Linked DNA regions of Coturnix japonica. The main gene of each other region encodes a partner of the protein of the gene in region 4 in a complex. Links are inferred from orthologs where the notes say so. Each region holds a gene or a part of one and is shown on either strand. Other genes may lie near its edges.

The links.
Region 1: ACTR2 (region 4) and ARPC2 share a complex: the UniProt entries of both Homo sapiens proteins name them as parts of the arp2/3 complex. The link is inferred for Coturnix japonica from reciprocal best matches to the Homo sapiens genes ACTR2 and ARPC2.
Region 2: ACTR2 (region 4) and ARPC1B share a complex: the UniProt entries of both Homo sapiens proteins name them as parts of the arp2/3 complex. The link is inferred for Coturnix japonica from reciprocal best matches to the Homo sapiens genes ACTR2 and ARPC1B.
Region 3: the proteins of ACTR2 (region 4) and ARPC4 are in contact, whole or in part, in a cryo-EM structure (PDB 6YW6), measured with the Homo sapiens proteins. The link is inferred for Coturnix japonica from reciprocal best matches to the Homo sapiens genes ACTR2 and ARPC4. Residues at the interface, in NP_005713.1 of Homo sapiens: Tyr222, Val223, Tyr225, Gln229, Glu230, Lys232, Leu233, Ala234, Leu235, Glu236, Thr237, Thr238, Val239, Lys253, Thr308, Met309, Tyr310, Pro311, Gly312, Pro314, Ser315, Asp346; in NP_005709.1 of Homo sapiens: Val29, Val30, Glu31, Arg32, His33, Lys35, Pro36, Glu39, Val40, Ala98, Glu99, Asn100, Phe102, Ile103, Leu104, Arg105, Arg106, Lys107, Leu117, Thr119.
Region 5: ACTR2 (region 4) and ARPC3 share a complex: the UniProt entries of both Homo sapiens proteins name them as parts of the arp2/3 complex. The link is inferred for Coturnix japonica from reciprocal best matches to the Homo sapiens genes ACTR2 and ARPC3.

The regions. Positions count from the first base shown.
Region 1 is NC_029522.1:24,179,082-24,182,541, reverse strand, and holds the end of ARPC2 (actin-related protein 2/3 complex subunit 2), read right to left. Parts: intron 2,457-3,460; coding exon 2,356-2,456; intron 2,027-2,355; coding exon 1,926-2,026; intron 1,353-1,925; coding exon 1,328-1,352; 3' UTR 893-1,327; downstream 1-892. Other genes in the region: AAMP (angio-associated migratory cell protein), read left to right, coding at 77-231, 424-499. UniProt on the Homo sapiens protein: Actin-binding component of the Arp2/3 complex, a multiprotein complex that mediates actin polymerization upon stimulation by nucleation-promoting factor (NPF).
Region 2 is NC_029529.1:4,413,672-4,417,305, reverse strand, and holds the end of ARPC1B (actin-related protein 2/3 complex subunit 1B), read right to left. Parts: intron 3,627-3,634; coding exon 3,522-3,626; intron 3,207-3,521; coding exon 2,984-3,206; intron 2,593-2,983; coding exon 2,485-2,592; intron 2,401-2,484; coding exon 2,194-2,400; intron 1,891-2,193; coding exon 1,815-1,890; intron 1,744-1,814; coding exon 1,547-1,743; intron 1,473-1,546; coding exon 1,382-1,472; intron 1,224-1,381; coding exon 1,185-1,223; 3' UTR 951-1,184; downstream 1-950. UniProt on the Homo sapiens protein: Component of the Arp2/3 complex, a multiprotein complex that mediates actin polymerization upon stimulation by nucleation-promoting factor (NPF).
Region 3 is NC_029527.1:9,003,614-9,007,602, forward strand, and holds ARPC4 (actin-related protein 2/3 complex subunit 4), read left to right. Parts: upstream 1-1,626; 5' UTR 1,627-1,759; coding exon 1,760-1,762; intron 1,763-1,889; coding exon 1,890-2,008; intron 2,009-2,160; coding exon 2,161-2,272; intron 2,273-2,345; coding exon 2,346-2,441; intron 2,442-2,551; coding exon 2,552-2,722; intron 2,723-2,953; coding exon 2,954-2,959; 3' UTR 2,960-3,169; downstream 3,170-3,989. Other genes in the region: TADA3 (transcriptional adapter 3), read right to left, coding at 69-210, 399-504, 632-882, 991-1,197; tubulin monoglycylase TTLL3, read left to right, coding at 3,656-3,722, 3,826-3,896. UniProt on the Homo sapiens protein: Actin-binding component of the Arp2/3 complex, a multiprotein complex that mediates actin polymerization upon stimulation by nucleation-promoting factor (NPF).
Region 4 is NC_029518.1:1,505,466-1,509,467, reverse strand, and holds part of ACTR2 (actin-related protein 2), read left to right. Parts: intron 1-2,657; coding exon 2,658-2,873; intron 2,874-4,002. UniProt on the Homo sapiens protein: ATP-binding component of the Arp2/3 complex, a multiprotein complex that mediates actin polymerization upon stimulation by nucleation-promoting factor (NPF).
Region 5 is NC_029530.1:4,513,151-4,517,754, reverse strand, and holds the start of ARPC3 (actin-related protein 2/3 complex subunit 3), read right to left. Parts: upstream 3,189-4,604; 5' UTR 3,060-3,188; coding exon 3,054-3,059; intron 2,308-3,053; coding exon 2,208-2,307; intron 1,365-2,207; coding exon 1,288-1,364; intron 1,141-1,287; coding exon 1,072-1,140; intron 852-1,071; coding exon 725-851; intron 329-724; coding exon 234-328; intron 1-233. Other genes in the region: GPN3 (GPN-loop GTPase 3), read right to left, coding at 4,241-4,303. UniProt on the Homo sapiens protein: Component of the Arp2/3 complex, a multiprotein complex that mediates actin polymerization upon stimulation by nucleation-promoting factor (NPF).

The DNA.
Region 1 (3,460 bases), on a different chromosome or scaffold from region 4:
GGGGAGGGATGGAGTGGAGTCTGATGGTGTGCTGGGACTGTTACTGAGTGTTATTCCTCCTCGTGCTCATTCCCAGTCAGGAATTGTGCAGTTGCTGTGGGAGGAGAACTCCGCTGTGGTGTATACCTGCAGCCTGGATGGGGCTGTGCGGCTCTGGGATGCCCGCTCAGGGAAGATGATCAGCGAGTATCGAGGGCACTCTGCTGAAATCCTCGACTTTGCTGTCAACAAGTGAGTAGGGACCCCCCGGACCAACCCTTCCCTGAGGCTGCTGGGTGCAGGAAACGCCTGAGCCTTGGAGTGTATCATCTGCAAACACGGATGCTCACATTGAAGGGTCTCAGGGGATGGAGTACGGGTGTTCACAGCTAGAGCTGTCCAAGGCCACCAGTTTGGCTGCTGAGCCCTATCTCTCTCCTCCAGGGATGCCTCCATTGTGGTGACGACCTCCGGAGACCACCAAGCCAAAGTGTTCTGCGTGCAGCGCCCTGACCGCTAGCGGCAGTGCTGAGGGATGGCGGCCTGGCTCTGCCATGCTGCTCATGTACAGCGGGACAGGGGAGATGGGTTTCACCCCCCTTCTCCAGCACGTGCTTTGTAATTTTTCAGCCTGCCCTACTTCGCCCTCACAAACTGAGGGCCGAGTCTGGGGTTTTGTATGAAAATGTCTTATATATAAATTATTTCACTTAACCTGGATCCCATCCACTCTGTTTGCTGGGGGAAGGGTGACCTTATGAGATGTGCTCTGTCCCACCAAGGGATTTTAGGCATTAGCTATAGGGGCTGTTCTTCCTACACCACAACGCTGCCTCTCAGCCTGGCTGACTCCAGTCAGCCCCTTTCCTTGGCAAGGCCATGTGCATTGACAAACCAAAACCCTACAGGTTCCTTAAGATAGAAAGATCTCCTTTATTAATGAACCCCAACAGTATTTCTTCAGATACAGGAGTTTTGAACTCAAATACTCAGAAGAAAACAAGTTAATATTGCATTATTCTCATAAGAAATACTGCAACTTATTTCCGGTAACATATTGCAAAGCGAAACAGCTCGAAAAGAAAAAAAAACCAAAATTAAAAAAAAAAAAAGAAAAAGAAAAGAAATGAAGTCAATCAAACTGGAATTAAGGTTTGTTTCTTGGAACGATCGAGTCCTCGCAAGCACAGCTCGTTTCTGCAGATTACTTCCCAAACTGTCGTACAAACAGACCCCGATTGCTTGAATTCCTTATGAGCCCACAGAGGTGCAACATTAAAAGCTACGATTATCGGGTAGCAAGTGCCCCAACCTTCGTCCTCCACAGTAGCCTCAGTGACCCCCAGCGTTAACGGGTCGTGAATGTCTTCCCCCTGAAAGGATGCAGAGAGAGGTCAGTGCGGCCTTCAGAGCTGCCTTGGGTTGCCCCAAGGTGACTTGTGGGCACGTGCTTGCATTGAGCTCTCAAAGATATACTGGTACTGCTGGTTCAGAGCTCACAGGCATTGCTTGCAGCAAGCAACTGGACCACACTGCTATGGGGAGGGGCTGGTTTTCACAGAGGGTACAACCCCAACACCCCAGAGCAGAAAGCAAAGAGGAAATAGCAGGATGCAAAGGAGCTCTGGGATCAAGAGGCCAGTGTCATGATGGAAACATGCTACACAACCACCGTCATTGGTGTGCATTGCTCTGGGCTGCTTTATTTGCCAAAGGGAGTCAGTTGCCAGGAATGCTCACAGCCTGAGTGAGCTATTGGCCACAGGATCTGGGGAAAGCCAGGCCACGCTCACAGCAGGAAGATGCTCTGCAAGTACCGGACATCAGGTCCCAAAATGGCCATCCCATACTATCCCAAACCTAGGAGCAGAGATGCTGAGCTGTGAAGAAGTGCGCTGATTGCAGGCAGGGAAGCCTGATTAACAAGGTTTTGCTTTGCTACTCACGTGATTGTTTTCATTTCTTTCTTCTCTGCATCTGGACGGGCACGGTTCAGCACCTTGAGGAAATCTGATGTTTTTGCCCTCATACGTGTGTGAATATAGGCCTGCAGGAACAAAACGGGGCCGCTTCAGGATCCCGTACTCACAGCTAAGACCCAGAAAGGAAACCACAGATTGAAAAGGGGGAAAAAAAAATCCTACTTTGCTGCTAGGATGGGAGGCGAACAGGCACTGCTTGTACCAAGGAACAGGAAGAAGGCGATGACGCACCATTTGCCAACCTAGCACTATTGTGCAGGGCAGTGCTATGCACTAATCAGCTCCCAGGGTGGGGGAACGAGGGTACTCCTACTCCATGCTTCTCCCTCTTAGTCCCCCCAGATGAGATGGGCCAAGCCTCCCATTTTCCCCAGCCATATCCCCATGGTGGTACCTTTGAGCACTTGATGTGATAGTGCAGGTAGTCTCGGAATGTGTGGATCAGGTTTATGGTGTTGTCTCTGGCAGCAGCATTGGTGTGACGGGGGAACAGCACTGAAAGGAAAGAGGCCACATAAACTGTTATTGCTTCCTGAAGCTATGAACGGGCCCTTCAGGGTGCTCTGGTGCTACAGGCTATAGGGCATGCTGCTCTGAATGCCTGTTTGCTGTGCCCAATATTGAGACACGTATTGGGATTAAGCAGCTCTGGCGATTTTAAACATGAGGCTTAGCAGCACTTTCCCACCCACAGTCACACGCTCATGTCTCTTGTAGCAGCCTGGATGCAGCTGGAGGACACAGACAAGGCCAAGTGCTCAGAGATGACGACATCCACACGTTACTTCAGTCTGGTGCTGTGCTAAGTGTCCCAGATCCAAGGGCTGAAAGACCTTTTGTCTCAGTGATGATCTCACCTGGGACTGTCAGATCAGATAACAGAGAGCCTGCCTCCAGACAAGGAGGAAGTCTTGCTAGCAGTCCAAGAATTGCCACTAGGCAGCCCTGCCATGACTGATTAAGTGCCTGAACCCAGGGCACCATTCCCAGCGTGGGAGTAGAGCAGCTCAGGCTTTGCTTTCCTCTGCAGTGTCTGTATGTCTGTGCTTTGTCTCTGAGCTCCAACGTGCAGGCATGCTGGCCTGGGAGATCCTAACGGCATATTCAACCACGATCCCAGTTTCTCTGTAAGAGATCGCTCCCTTTGAACAGGGGCAGGGTTTGGACTCCTCAGGTCAGTCATCAGTGCTACTGCCCAGGAGGAAATGACTGCTAGCCAGCAAAGCAGCACCTTTGCAGGCAGGTGAAGGTACTTCATCAGAGATAGATGTATTAGACTTAAAACAGAGGGGCAGAGCAGGAGAAGCACAGCTTGCAGCCCAGGCATCTACAGTTACAGATCACATGCCTATGAGAAAGAAGCCTGTAGTACCTGCAGTATCACAACAAAGCCAAACGTCTCTTACTCCCAAGTGCTGAACCCAATTTATAGGCTGATCTCACATGGCTTACTATCTATTCCCCTGCTGCCCAGAGCAGAGCTGAGGTGACTTGATGCA
Region 2 (3,634 bases), on a different chromosome or scaffold from region 4:
TTGTTTTCTTCACCTGATTAGGGATAGTGCCAGTTTTTAACCACATTATCCTTTGTTTAAAGGAAAACAGGTATATGTATCATGAATTGTATTGGACCCAGATGGAAAAAAAGCCCAAACCCACCTTGATGAAGTTAAAAAAAAGAAAGGAAAAACAACTGAACTTGTATATTTGGCTGATTAAAATGTAAACGATCAGAACTGCCATGTCCTTGTGTAAGTGAACTGATAGAACACACAGTGCAGCACAGTGTGGTCTTGCAGTGGTTTCTTGTGTCTGCTGCTTCTCTCTGCTGTTCACGATGTTGAGTTTGGCTCAGGGTTTGGGAGCCCTATCAGCAGCTGCAGCCCGAAGGCAAGAAGCTTTTCCTGCTCTTCTCTGATGGACGTCTTGCACCATCTGGTTAGTGGAGAGGAGGAAACAATTACCTTCAGGCTGCTGTTGGGCTCAGTCAGTGTGTTAGGCCATCCCTGGGCTGTGCCACAGCGTGGAGCTGGCAGAAGATGCTTTAATCTGGTACATTGTGGTTGTGGGGCACCAGCAGTTCTCAGCCTTATCGAGAATTGAGGTGGTGTCAGAGGATCAGGTGGAAACTTGGGGTGAGCCTTGGGAGCAAAGGGAGGTGGCTGGGGCCTACAGGAGGAGGGGAGGGAGAAAGGGGCTGGTTCAGGTGCACTGGGGTGGGTGACACATAGAGGTCTTTGCCCAGTAGAACACAGCTCCATTGTGGGAGGATGGACCAGAGCTCGGAATCATGGAGTGACTCAAACATCTCCATCCCAGTGCTGCCAGCAAGGATCCGTCCTGGGGCTGTGAGTGTAGGGGCTGCACTGCATGGAGGGGCTGCCAGGAGCCGTGTTAACCTGAGCACATGCAATTAAACCCTGCAGCATGCTGTAATCACATGTACTCACATTAAAATGCTTTAAAAGAAAAGAAGAAAAAAACATTGGATTTATATGGGAAAATCTTTATTATTGAATTCATAAAGCGATGTATGACCAGCATCGGTTAGGATGGTAACAAAAATAGTATTAAAAAAACAACCCAACCAACAACCACCTTTATCTCTGTGTTAGAGCAGCCCAGGGCTGGCTGGCAGCCGGGAGCGCGGGGCAGAGGGAGTGCAGCAGTGCAGCAGCAGAGCGGGGCAGCTGCGGCTGGGACCTCCTGGCTGCATCCTTCATTTGATTTTGAGATCCTTCAGTGCCGACTCCAGGCTCTGAAACAAGAAGTTGTTCAACAACTGCCTTATTTTTTTACTTCCTAAGGTGAGTGGAGCTGTGCAGACCCCAGACTGTAATCAATGGGGACATTGATTACACTGAGCTGGGGCTAAGGAGGGACTGATGTGGTTGGGGGGCTCGGGAGGGGCCTCACCTTGATGTCCCAGATGCTCATGCCACCGTCCATCCCCGTGGTGCAGAACTGCGAGCAGTTGGCTTTGCCCCCAACCAGCACAGAGATCTGACTGTGGAGCGCAGGGGAGGGAGGTCAGACTGCAGCCCCGGACCCTCCCCCCTCTCACGGATGCCCCATCAGCACCTGATGCTGTTCTTGTGCACTGTATCCAGCGCAGCGTTGGCTGTATCAGAGCTCGCCTTCTTATCCAGGTTCTGGAAGCGCTCGCGGGCAGTGAGGCCACGCTGGGAGCTCTGCTTGGGGACATCCAGCTTCCCTCCAAAGCTCAGCGTGCCCGAGCCCTCCTCGTAGGTGAACAGCATGGGGTAGCAGTCGTGGCCCTGGGGATGAAGTGGTGGTCCTGCTCAGAATCACCTCGTGCTCTGCCCGCCCTCAGCCCAGCCCAACTCACCGCGGCCACCAGGCTGCTCTCAGTGATGAAGGTGACGGCCAGGAGGGGAAGGGTTTCAGTGCATAGGGAGGCAACACTGAAAGGGAGGGAGAAAGTGTGAGCAGTGAGTTGAGACCATGCTGAGCACAGCACAGCTCATGACGTGGGAGTGGGGCTGTGATGCTGCAAGGAGAGGCTGTGCCTCCTCCTGCACCCGGCTCCACTCAGCCCTTCACCCCCACCCCAGCTCCATCCCAGCTCCACCCCTGCATCATTTTGGGGACCATCCAGCCCACAGAAAAGCAGCTGCCTTCCCCAGCGTGGGCAGCCACAAATCACTGCGTAGCCCATCCCATCCAAAAACTCCCCCAGATCCCCCTGCAGCCCCAGCCCTGCTTACGCCATCTTCTTGTTGGCATCAGCGAGGCACAGGGTGCTGTCGTGGCTCACCCAGGCCACTCGGTTGCCGCTGGCTGAGAAGCAGATGCTGTGCACCCACCCACAGCTGCTGCTCGACTCAAACATCAGCTCCCCAAACGGCATCTTGGAGCCCCAGGGCGTGGGGCTGGGCCGCTCCTCCACCTCCTTGATGTAGGCTGAGAAGATCCTGGGAAGGAGAAGATCGCCGTGGAACAAGCTCCATCCCTGCTCACCCCATAGAGCCCCCTGGGGTCCCCCCTTTTCCACTCACCGGCACTTGAAGTCGCAGGAGCCGGCAGCCAGCAGCACGTTGTTGGGATGCCAGTCCAGGCTGAGCACTGTGGAGCGGATGGGCTTCTTGATGTGTTTGCACACCCACCTGCAGGGAGAGCGGCGTTGGTGCCCCTAAAGCCCCCGGGTACAGTCCATGGCTCTCACACCACAGTCTGGGGGTGATTGGGGCCCCCAGGAACTGCCCTTGGCTCCCAGCCTGTGTCAGCAGCTGGGCCATGGGGACAGTGCTGTGTCCCCAGCTCTTAGGTCCTGCAGCACTTATGTCCACCTCTCCATCAGGCTCCTCCTCTGCCTCCTCCTCCGTCTCCTCAATGACTCCCCTATCTCACCTCTCATCCCTCTCCCCCACCTCCCCATCCACCCATCTCCCCTACACTCATTTCCCCACACATACACCCTCATTTCCCCACACATACGACCCCTTCCCCTCCATCCATCCCCACCCAATGCAGGATGGTGACCTCAATGCCACTCACCAGTCATTCTCCTGCTCAAAGTAGCAGATGGAGATGAGCCGGGAGCCGCTGCCCACAGCAAACTTGTTCTCCTTGGGGGACCACTTCACACAGCGGGCAGCCCGGTTGATCCTCAGGATGACCAAGGTGGGTTTCCAGACGTTGCCCTTCAGGGTCCAGACGTAGGCATTGCGGTCGGTCCCACATGTCACCAGCCGGTTGCTCTCAGGAGCCCAGTCAATGCCTGGAAGGTGGGGGGGGCAGTGATGTGGGGGGAGCCGTGTGGATGGGGACAGGGCATGAGGGGGCCATCTGGAGGTGGGGATGTGGCTGCTCTCTGCCCCTGAGTCCTTCTCTGCTATATTCCCCCAGTCAATTTAATCCCAACCCTTCTACAATGTTATCATCCCATCCCCGGGTGCCTCCTGACACACTGAATTGGGACCAGGAACACCAGACACAGCCCTTCCTCTCCTTCACAACCCCTGTCCCAAGGCCACCAGTGTCACTGAGTGGGGTTGGGACTGACCTCAGAGCTCGTCCATCCCCATGCACTCACCTGTCACCTGCCCGTTGTGCTCCTTCAGCTCGTGCACCTTGCTCCACTTGGCCCCGTCCTTGCGGTAGATGTGCACCTCGTGGTTATTGGGGCACAGCGCGATCTCTGTGGGG
Region 3 (3,989 bases), on a different chromosome or scaffold from region 4:
ATGCCAGCCCCCTGGTCTCACCACACAGCTTCAGTGCAGTCCATCACAGATAGGGGATGGGACAGCACCTTTGGTGTCCAGCTCGGTCAGTGGTCCCAGAACACCCTTCTTTTTGTCAGCCGCAGCCGCTGCCCGGGCTCCATCCTTCTGCTCCTCCAGCAGGTCCTCCTGAGCCCAGCGCTGTGAGTAGTGCTTCCCCAGCGGTGGGATCTGCAGCACAGGATGGGCCATCAGCACAGGGCTGGGGTTGTGCTGAGGAGCCCGTGGGTCAGCACCACCCCAGAGGACACGCACAATGTTCACAGTGGGGTGTGAGTTCTTAGCCTGCCCAGGGATGGACAGTGCAGGGCAGAGTATGGGGTGAGAGAGCATGGGCTGGGGGCTCTGCAGCTTGTCACCTTGTAGTGCTCAGCCTCGTCCTCTGGCGGTTTGAGCAGCTCCTCCAGGACCCTGACCTCCTCATTGGTGAGATCGGCGCAGTACGGCTCCACTGATGCCCAGAACCTGCGAGGCCAGAGCAGAGGAATGATGGTGATGGGGAGCTGTGATGGACACTTTGAGAGCAGCTCGTGATCTCCTGCACTACAAGGAAGGAAACATCCAACCCCAACACCCCCATCTCCCCATTCACCTGTTCGGAGCATCGTTTTTAGGGATCCTCGGCACATCGATGGGGTCATCCTGGAACTCGTACTCCTGGATCTTGGGCTGCAGGTTTTTAGACTTAGGCCTGCCGGGCCCAGGCCCCGTCCCGTGCCCCCCTTTACCCTCCAGCTTCTGCTTCTTGGGCTTGCCGTGTTTGACGGAGGTGCCCACGTCGTGTTCCTTGCTCAGCTTCAGGAAGCGCCGGTCGCCCTTTTTGTCCTGCCAGTCCGTCAGGATCTGGAATAGAGGAATAACGTGTAGGGTCGTGTGTGGGGCGGTGATGGGGTGGGGGGTCACAACACGGACACGTTACACGTTACACGTTCCATGTTCCACATCCCACACCTGTGTCTCTGCCTCCAGTACCCGCAGTCTGCGGCTGGCTGAGGACAGCAGCGTCTCCAGCTCGAGCTGCAGCGTGTCCAGCTCCTCGATCCCGATACCATCGTCCTCGGACCGGGCCAGCACGGCCGTGTACCGCGGGCACACCTTCACGTGGTCCACAGACTTGAAGTCGTGGAACTGCAGCGGGCAGTCCTTCAGCTCGCTCATGGCGGCACCGGGTCGGAACCGGGCGGCGATAGAAGCCTGTTGTCCGGTCTCTCGGTGCCGCCCGGAGCTCGGCGGGTCCCGGCGGGGGGCGGGCAGGGGGCAGGGCCGGGGGGGGCCGGGTTTACATTGGGCCGCTCGGCTACTTCCGGCCCCCGCCGCTTCGCCCCGCCCCTCTCTCCCCATTGGCTCGGCCCCGCCCGGTGCACGCAGCCGATTGGTTCGCTCGTCTCTCCTTCTTCCTTTCCTAATATGGAAGCGCCGTACGGAGCGTACCAAGAGCGGCGGGATCGCGGGGGGGGTCGAATCTCGCGGGGTTTCGCCGCCGCCTCCAGGCGCTGCAGCCGCGCCCCGTGACCGGCCGGATATACACACAGATACACATATATACACATATATACATATACACGGTGTGGGGGGACGGGACGGAACGGGGAACGGAACGGGAACGGAGAGAGAACAGAGCGCCCCCACACAGCTGCGGGTTGGGCCCTCCCGAGCATCCAGGAAGAGACAGCCGGCCACTTCCGGTTCCGCTTCCACGGACCGGACCGGAGCCGACACCATGGTGGGAGCGGGAGGGAACGGGGCGGGAGAACGGGGCGGGGGATGGGGGTGGATGTGGGTACGGGGATAGGGGGGGACGGGGCTGGGGTGGGCCCGGTCCCGGTCCGTGACTGTGCCGTGCCCCTCAGACCGCCACGCTCCGCCCGTACCTGAACGCGGTGCGCGCCACGCTGCAGGCCGCGCTGTGCCTCGAGAACTTCTCGTCGCAGGTGGTGGAACGGCACAACAAGCCCGAGGTGGAGGTCAGGTACGGGGCTGTAATGTGTGTCAATGGGGATGGACACGGACACTGCCCGCACTGTGTGTCAATGGGGATAGACACACGGACACACGGACACTGCCCGCACTGTGCCTGCAGGCACCGAGCGGTTCCATGCTGACCTTCCTTTGCTCCCCCAGGAGCAGCAAGGAGCTGCTGCTGCAGCCCGTGATCATCAGCAGGAACGAGAAGGAGAAGGTGCTGATCGAGGGCTCCATCAACTCCGTGCGCGTCAGCATCGCTGTCAAACAGGTGGGGATGGGCTGGATGGGGGCTGGGAGCTTGTGAGAGTGTGAGGAACCTCGTTTCCCTTTTGTGTCTGCAGGCCGATGAGATCGAGAAGATCCTGTGCCATAAGTTCATGCGCTTCATGATGATGAGGGCTGAGAACTTCTTCATCCTACGCAGGAAGCCCGTAGAGGTGAGGGAGTCCCAGGGACCCACAGCGCAGATCTGGACTGCACCATCACTGTGCTGCACTCCCACTGTGCTGCACACCCATAGCTCTTACACTGCTCCTCTCTTCCTCAGGGCTACGACATCAGCTTCCTCATCACCAACTTCCACACGGAGCAGATGTACAAGCACAAGCTCGTGGATTTCGTGATCCATTTCATGGAGGAGATCGACAAGGAGATCAGCGAGATGAAGCTGTCTGTCAATGCCAGGGCCCGCATTGTGGCAGAGGAATTCCTCAAGAACGTAAGGCTCCGGGGATGCTCCTGCTCCCAGCAGTGGGGCACAGCTCTCATAGGCACAACCCACTGCTGGGGGCTGCTTTGGTGCAGTTTGTGCCCATCCTGGGTTGGCTGTAATTGGTGCTCATGTTTCCACTGGGGTTGAGGTCCTCTAAGTGGGCTGAGGGTGGGCACAGCTGGGGGATGTAGGACATCCCAGTGCTGATGGGCTCCTCCCCTCTGTCTTGCCTTGCAGTTCTAGGCTGTGCCGTGACTCCGTGGCTTCCCGGTGCCTGTGCAGAGCCGCATGCCGGGGTTCTCGTGCTATGGAGGAGGGAAGCTGAGCCCCTGGCTGCGATCCCGTCTCCTCGCTGGCCGGGGCGGGGGCGGACCGGGCTTGTGCGTGTGTGGGGCTGGGCGGCCCCGCTCCCTGTCCTGTCGCATTGTGTTTTATAAAGAGTTACTTGCTGTACGCCCCGGCTCCTCGCTGCGTTGCTGTGGGGGGAGGAAAGGGGGAGAGAATGGAGGGAATGCTCGGGGGCGGGGCTATGGGGCAGGGGGGGGCGGGGCCCGGAGCAGCACCATGACAACAGTAAACAGCGGGGGCAGCCCCGCCGGTACTGGAAGGAGTGGGAGTGGCTCGGGTGGGTGCGGGGGAGGATGGGGTTACAGAGCGGCCTGGGGGAAGGGTTTGGGGTGACAGATGATGGGGAACCAGCTGGTGTGGAGCCATAGGAGAGGGGGCAGGGCTTAGGGCTGCTGGAACCCCCCCGCATCTCCCATTGGGTGAGGATGCAGCTCAATGGGATCCCCTGTACTGCATGGAGTGGGGCTGAGCTGCTAGCAGCCTCCCTCACCCCCAGGCTGCCCCACACCTCACCCACTCGAGAGCAGGGCCGTGGGCACAGCCCAGTGAGGGGAGTTCCTGGTGGGCACGCTGTGAGGCTGCGGTGCCAACATGAGCATTGAGAAGGAGGCAAATGCTGCAGGAGGGGCACCCAGCAAGGTGCAGCGTGTGTGGGCAGGTGGGTGCCTGCTCCCTGCCCCTCGGAGACAAGGAACATGAGGGTATACGTGTCCCGATGGGGCTCAGCTGGGGCTGTCCCACGGCTCTCTGGATTCTTGCAGACTGCAGCCGCCCCTGGCTCTGCCCAGAGAAGCTGAAGCTGGCCAAGATGCAGGTGGAGAAGGCTATCAAGGTGAGGGCCTGCTCCTGCCCCAGGCTGTCACCCATTTTCACTTGGCATAAGGGCTGAGCCCCCCGGGGTGGGCAGCTTAGCCATGGCATCTCC
Region 4 (4,002 bases):
CTGCCTGTGCTAAAGCAGCTGCCACAAATTGCAAATACTTTTCCTCTGATGCAATTCACACCATAGGTAGACTTGCCTTAGTAGTGCTGATAGTTACCTTTATGGCTTTTGATAATTTACATGTAGGTTTAATTGGAGGAGAAAGAATCTCAGCAGTCATGAAAATGACCATAGTATAATTTCAGACAGCATTTGCATGTGTGCACTTTGTACTTCAGGTTACTTCCCAGCTGTTTTAATTCTCCTATCTTCCTACATCCATACCTTGCTATTGTGAAGAACTTTAGTTCCAAGATATCTGAACAATTAAGTCTCCTTATAGACAAATACTTTGACATTATTGCTTTGAATTCTTGAGTATTTAAGGCAGAACACTTAAAACAACCTAAACGTAGCATTAGCCAGAGCTGGCTGTAGTCAATCCTTTTCTGCAGAGTCTCATCTAGTTCAGATGAGCACATTGCTAGGGGTGAAATTCCAGTGTTACAGAACAGTTATGCACAGAACCCTACTAGAAAGGGACAGATTTTGTTTGCAACATAAGGTGCACAAACGCAACATGCCAGCAACTTGTTGCGGTAGCTTTAAATAGGGACATTTAAGCTAAAATCCCAAGGATGTGAACTTGGCCCTAACTACACTAACCTGGATATTTTTCAGCCGCGCGTGCATCTATTTGCAGCTTATTTCTACTGCGTACTTTAAATAACTGGAGAATTTCATTTAGGCTTTTTCTGACTTTCTTGCTTCTACCTTTTCTTCACCTTTTTTGACCGGTTGAAGTAGAATAACAAAAAAATGGTAAGTGAGGGTGCCTCGTGCTGCTTGTTTAGTGTTGATGCTTGGTGGGACCTAGAGCTCTTCTGCTGTTTTTTGCTATTCCTTGTTCTGTCTTGCCTTACATTTTGCCTTTGAATCCATACTTACTTTGGATGTGTTTCATTGCTTTGGTTTACTAGCAACTAATTGATGAGACTATTTTACGTATTGTGTTGAAGTATGACATAACCTGTGGTTTTGCAAGGTGCAAGAATAGCACTTGAAGACCAATGTGAGCTCAGTATCTCCAGCAGCGGAAATTACTTTACATAACGTTACAGACCAAGGGCATGAAAAAAGTTTCAATTTCCAGTTAGGCAAATATTGAGTCCCAGAGTGATGGGAACGTTGGATGTCACGACAGTGATGCTGTATGGGCTGCCTTCCTTATGAGTGTTGTTTGTTTGTGTGCCCTGGAGAACAATGAGTGCTTCTGCCCTTCAGCTTTGTTTTGTTAACAGGACGCAGAAGTTTGGTGTGACTTGATTGTGTGTTTCAGTACTGGCTTTTCCTGGGCTGCATCCTGTCCAGGAGCACAAAGCCTCCAAAGGCAGCACACAATAATACACTGCTGAGGGTTTCTGATGGCATAACCTGATGTGGAGGAGTTGTGTTATGCTTCCACTGAACTACCTTTGGTTTTAAAAAGGTAGAGCCTTGACTTCTGTCTTCTGTACAGTCTGGGTAGTGGAGGTGTGATCTATTGCACAAGGGAAAGCAAATGGAGCACTTTGTCAGGGAGGAGGAACAGATTATATGACACTGTTTTCAATAAGCTTCCTTTTTATTTTTATTGGTTGCTGGCAGCTCTTTAGGTTGCTTCTGAAATGGGCTTTGATGGACTTGATGCTGCATTTCTGTCCGTTGTTTTTTTTTTTACCCCTTGCATTGAATTGTAGGTTGAATAACCTTCTCTATAAAAGTTTTCTGCACCGTGGTAACTGCTGGCATGTTTTTGTGTGGAGCAGACAATTTTCTGCAGCGAAATGAAGGCAGCAGTAGAGTGAAAGCAGCGCTCTAGAAACATGTTCTTAGAGGCCAGGTGTGAGCAGATCAGTTAAGGCTTCCATAGGAAAATGTAAGATACAACAGGGAACAAACACAGTGTCATATTGTGCATACTTCCTCTGGGAAGTACGTGGGAAAGGAGAAGATACAGTGCTACTAATTTGAATGTGCAATGTTTGCATAACTAACTTTAAGAAACAGATTGCTTAATTAATGGGAAATGGTTGTACAAATTGCATTCGTTGGTTGTGTTTGTGTAAGAATGCATTGCCGTGGTTTTTGTCTTGGGACTTTCAGCATGGAACAGACCAGGGTATGTTTTACATTTAGATGTCTCTTCTCTTCACACCCTACTGGCATAGGCAATGTGTAAACCACAGGTACTTTTAAGGTATAGTGTGGAACTCATAAGCACTTATTTGCTGTTGCTACTGTTCTGTTTGCTAATGGACCACTCTATATTCCTTTCCTGGCATCGTGCAGCGTGCAGGGAAAATATTCTGCAGTCCACCTACCATCTTTACATGCTGTTCTGTATCTCAGCCTTCTGAAATCTGATGACAGAACTTCGGAGGTGTCAGTGGAGAAACATCTACCCTTACAAAAGCATCGTTTTGGGGAAGGTTTGGGATAGATAACAGTCCAATTTCAATATTACACGGGGTATATTCTACTTGTCTCCTAAGCTCCTAAAAACAATTCTGAAATGTGGGCATTGTTTGAAAGCACAGATAGATGTGGGTTAGCACAGCTTGCTGTCGTTGTTTGAGGATTTTGTTCTCTAGAGGACTTTGCAACAACTAACATACTTCTATGTTAACATTTTACAGGATCTCATGGTTGGAGACGAAGCAAGTGAATTACGTTCAATGCTGGAGGTTAATTATCCAATGGAGAATGGCATCGTTCGGAACTGGGATGATATGAAGCACCTCTGGGATTACACATTTGGACCAGAGAAACTTAACATTGACACAAAAAATTGTAAAATACTGCTTACAGAACCTCCCATGAACCCAACTAAAAACAGAGAGAAGATCGTGGAGGTACGTCCCTCTAGTAGGAGTTAAGATGTGCTGTTGTTCAAGTATGGATAAAAAGCTTGGATTTTCTTGGAATACCCAGAAGCTGCCTGAGGGAAGGCAGTTCTCCTGTCTTCTGAGCCAAATGTGCCATCAGCCATGGTTATAAAGGTTGCTGTGGTCAAATTCAAACAGTCCCTCTTATCCAAACGTTAGAAGCAGACTGGGTGTCTCAAGCCATTTCACCAACAAAACGGGGTTAGAAATGCACATTTTTCTTCAGGTATCTAAGATACTTTGATTACTAGATATTGGGTGATTGTTAATTAATTTAAATGACTTGAACTTCTGCAAGGCAGTAACATTTTGGAAGAGGCTGATGCTTGGACAAGCTGATGCTGACCAGATGGAGCAGCGTTGTTGGAAGTAGCTGAGACAAAGGTGTGATGACAACCAATTCATTGATCTTTGCTTAACACCCCCAGGGATTGTCAGTGAAAGCCTTCTTAGAAGGAAAGCTGGGTTCTTGGATCCTGTGCTGTCCAGGACAACCTAAGCTACCTCTGAATTCAGTTGGTTGGAGGAATAAGAACTTAATTTTATCTTGACCTACTAACTTTCCTTTAAAAACCATTAGTTGTCACAGCTATAGTAATACTTTCTGCTATGTGACCGTGGGTGTTTTTGCAGTAGTCTTTTATTTCAGTGTCCTGCTAAATAAATCTGAGGCAGAAAAACTCAAGGATTAATCAAACTGTACAATTTTGTTGTGTTTTTAAATTGAAAGTTTTCTAGCATGTATAGACATTAGTGGCCCGTTATCTAAGCGCTGTGTAACTGGACATTAGCAATGCTGTCTGCTGTGTATCAGGCAGCTGTGGTGTGATGAACGTAGTGGCCTATTCTGGGTTGCTTCCATATAGTAGGAATGGCTGAGTTTCCTGCTGAGGCTGCATTGCTTTCCAGCTGTCTACAATGGTGCACTCGTTTCTGTTTTCCTGCTAAGTGCACCAGGCTGGGTTTTAGTTATTCTGGTGCTGAGTAATTTTATCCTATAAATTGAGAAGCCTCCTATAGCTTCTGAAGTATGAGAAAACATTTGTGTTGCCCCATGTGCTTTTTAAAACCACTCCAGAGACTGTAGATACTTAAC
Region 5 (4,604 bases), on a different chromosome or scaffold from region 4:
TAGTGACTTAAAAGTAGGTTTAATACCAATTCCAATATATTTATTGCAGTGTAATAATGAACATCAGAAAGCTATGCCTTTGGAACTAAATTAGCTTGAATAATTTTCATGATGAAATGCAAATATATTTGCACATGAAATACAAGACCAGGATGTAATTCATGCATCTCCATCTTTTGGAGAAAGCAACCAAGCCTCTCATTGAATCTGTGATCATTAGGCCAAATCCTTACCTTACTGGGCTTGTCACTCTGAGGATCAAATACTTTTTCACAAAGTCGAAGGCCAGTTTCTTGCCTGAGCTGCTGCAAGTATGCTCTCATCACCTCTGAAATACAGCACAAGGACAAAGTAGCATTAAGGCAAACTAAACTGAGTGTGAAGGCAGCGGACATCACTGCCTACAGCAAGAAATGTGAGCTCTCACATCTGTAGGCCCTTGCTGGCTGTTCATTTTACAGCCATACTTGGATTTGTTATATTTGTATGAGTAAAACATATCTCAATTGTTTTCTTCTTTCAGCTAAGCCTTTGCCCATCATTATGGGTTTCCTCTCTGCCAGTGTAGGAGTTAGCTTGAGCTCTGTTACAGAATCTATCTAGCAGTTATAAGATCAGAAGACCTCAGAAAACAGAGCTAGAAGTTTTCTAGTTGTAACTGCAAAAACACAGCTGGTAAAGCTTGGACCAAAGCAAGTCTTTAGGGGTCTTTGTTAAGTCTTACCTTCCTCTTGCTTGTTGGTAGGTTTGGCATAAATGGCATTAAGTGGAAAGCCAGGTTCCCCAGGGATTGGGAAATTAGTGATTCCTAGCGTGTACATCTCTTTCTCTCCTTGGCCTTTAGAGTTGCACTGAAAGAACCAACCAAACAATTGATTACAATCCCTAAACCATTAAGACTTATCAAGAACAGCAGTGCAGTGTCCCTGCAAAACCACAGCCTCAAGTATTTGTTTTGTGGTTCTGTAAACTGGGGTTGCAGTGAACAGAGTCTGCTGTGCCTTTAGGAGATGAATACCAGCAAATACTCTCCTGAGTATAATCCCCAGAACAGACTGTTTCCCTCCTTACCTTTTGCAGCTTTTTCAAGCACTCAGAAATGTAGAGAGTTACGTAGATCAGTGTTCTGTCAGCCTCGTTCTGCAAAACAAGAGTAAGCACAGAGCCCGGTCTGTTAGACTACAAGGGACTTCATGGAACTGCTAACAGTTTGAAATAGGAACGAGTTCATGGCATTTGTGCCAGCAATTTCCTCATAGGAAAGGAATTATTGCAGAAAAAAAATACCTTAATTTCATAATTTTTGAAGAAAACGTTGGCTTTGAAGTAGTAGATGGCTTCATCTATAATATCTGTATCTTTAGCTAAAGCAAAAGAAAGAAAATGAAAGAAAACCAAAATTAAGCAGTGCATTGCTACACATTTGGTCATAACTTTTACATGTTGAAGTACACAAACAGTGTTTCTTGCAAAAGCAAAATCATTTACAAGAAGCAGAGGACTATGGTAAATTTTACCCGTGTGAAAGACTGGTGATCTCTGACCAAACCATTTAAGTTTCTTACTCTTAGTAGGACTTTTAACTCCCTTCTTTTCCCATGACTTCACAAAGGGCAGCAGGTTGGCAGTTCTTTGGTATATCCTACCAGTTGAGTGACTCACCAGAGTTTTAACAGTATAGAACATATTAATATATGTATATTAATATGTATAACAGTATAGAATATAATATATATGCAACAGTATATAGAATATACTGTTAAAACTCTTTCTGAGGGCCCAAAAATATATTTGGGAGAAATTAACACCACAATCAAACAACCTTCCTCATTATTCTCCTGAAAAAAAGAAGAGGAAGGGTAGATTACATAGTGGCAGGTTGACCTGCAGCTTTCACTTTCTTTTACAAACATGCTTGAATTCTGAAATATTTCCTTTTTCAAACCGAATTGCCACAGTTAAGCATCCTCAGCTATTGCACCAAAGCTGAGTTCTGCAGCTAAACCTCCACTTCCTCTGACAGCAAAGGGTTAATAGCACCACATCCTCACAGCCTGCTGAAAAGAGGCACAGGAGGAAGTGTGAAAATACTATCTGTAGGCAGTGTTAATTGCTAAAGCAGCTGAATTACCCAGAGCCGTGCCAGATAACAGCCATGGGATCATCATTTTTTCTAGTTGGCACCACTTATATTCTTATAAACTTACTTTCTCGAGGTGCTGGGCCTTTGAACTGGCTTCTGATGGGTAACAGTGCCATGTTCCCCACTAGCTTGGTATCCGAGTCCATTAAAGTTGAATGGTAAGCCTAGAGACAAGGGAAGACTGCTTATTATTCCTGCAGAATATTGCCCTTCCTTTATCCTGTTAAAACAGAGTTTGGTTTGTTAGGGATATGATTTAACTGGGAAGTATTGGTGATGGTTGGACTGGATGATCTTCTAGGTCTTTTCCAACCTTGATAATTCTGTGATTCTGTGGTGCTTCCAGGAACCTTTCCTTGCACAAACAATGGTCATTTCTTACTTAGGCCTTCTGCAACTCAGCACCATTCCAGCGATGAGCACAAAAGCATTTATTGGAACCATTTGTCAGTGGTGGTGGAAGAGCACAGGCTGAGAGAGATGGGGCTGTGCAGCCTGGAGAGGGCTGTGGGGAGAGCTGAGAGCAGCCTGTCAGTATCTAAATAATAACCAAAACCAGGCTTATCACATACACACACAAAAGGCCTTTCTGTGCATTAAAACTGATGTAAGTGAATAAGAAGCACTGGGATGTGCTACTTTCTGGTGTGGCCTTGTGGTGCGGTTCCCCCAGATGCACTCCTGCCGCCCGGCTGGGTGCCACGGGGGGGGGGGGGGGGCTGACTCTGTGAGGTCAGAACGGGATAAAAAAAAAAGGGGAAGAAAAGAGGAAGGCGGCAGGTCCCTCCACACCGATCCGCTCATCAGTGCGAGGCTCCCGGCTACAGCCCCCCTTTCATCCGCCCCCAGTCCGTCCCTGGCGCTCAGCGCCCGCCCTGCCCCTTCCCTCCCCCTGCCCCGCTCCGCTCACCGGCATGGCGAAGGGCAGGGCGCAGCTCGGTGCGACGGCAGCGGCGCTGAGCTCGTAGCAAATCTTCCTCTTCCTTCAGGAAATGAGGCAGCGGGGCGGTGCGACAGGGGGAAGCCACAGCCCGTACCGCCCCGAGGAGCCGCTCCCTGATGGGGAAGCACAGAACTGACCCCCCCCCATTACGCGCTGGGTCTGAGGGAACTGTTGTCCTTGTGAGGCAGAGTGCCCCATTTGCCCCCCTTTTGCCCCCCCTCCACCTCCTCGTCACTTGAGTCAGGCCGAAAAAATGGGGAGATTTGAAGCTGAAGGGCTGGGTTTCTCCTTTCCGTGAGCAAAGGGCACCTCTGCTGTGAGGATGGGCTGAGGGAGATGGGCTGTTCAGCCTGGAGGAAAAGGCGGCTGCAAGGAGTCCTTAAAAAGCTGCGTCCCCAAAAGCTGTGTTCTCTAATTCTAACCTCTTTCTGGTTATGGCAATGACTACCCTGAACTCTCACCTAACTGTCCAGGGCTGGGAGTAGCTGTGTCATATCCTCAGGTTTAGATAACTGCCACTGCCTCAAAGTATTCAATCATTGGTTTGGTTTACCAAGCCGCTCCAACAAAATGACATTAGATGCTCTTATTCTACTGGGTTTGAATCCCCCCTGTGGCGCAAGTGGTAGAAGTGCTGCTCTTCTACACATAGGCTCAAATCCTGGGAACTATATAATACATAGAAAAAGATGACACGCCTATATATGAGCATTTACTGATATTAAGCTTTACGTCACCACAAGGCCCTTTTTAGAAAACACTTTTATTCAATAATCATTAATAAAACTCGTTCCTTAGGATCAAGGAAAGGTTTATAAATACTTGGATATGACTAGAAGAAAAGCATCCTCCAATTCAGCTGAAATTAGCTAATAAATTGGATTAATATATTTTAGGAGAAATAATAATAAAAGATATTTTGAGAACGTTCGAGAGTCCAGGAACATTCTGTATTTACAAAAGAACTATTAACAGTAATACAGCTCACTATATTCTGTCGTATACACCGTCATATAGCTCACTTCTCACTAGCGATGTTAGTTATCTTAAAGGCAAAACATCACATAAATATGTTTGTGTGGAGGTGGATGGTTTTTGCTTTCTTTAAAACACACAAGCGATGCATTTTCTTCCTCTTTTCCAGCATCTGCTTTTTACTCATTCACGTGATCTTGAAAATACTCATCCACGAGTGCAGATTTATCTTCTTCATATTCCTGCAACAAGAAAACAGAAAACGTAATACCTGACTTTTCTCTAGTGACTGTTGGATGCTGTCAGTTCTGCAATGCTTTATTTTAATAAGCACAACAATGTCCAGTGCAGTTCTATAAAACAAGTAGCAAAACTTCCTGAACAGCAGTTTGTTTCTAAAGCTCTCCCATATGTATACATCAAAATCCAGGTGTGGTTATTTTGCATATCCTGAGAGTAGGAAACTGAATTTTTAAGAAGATCTTAGTGGCATACAATCATCTTTTCCAACCTTTAACATTGAAATAACATGATTATATTATG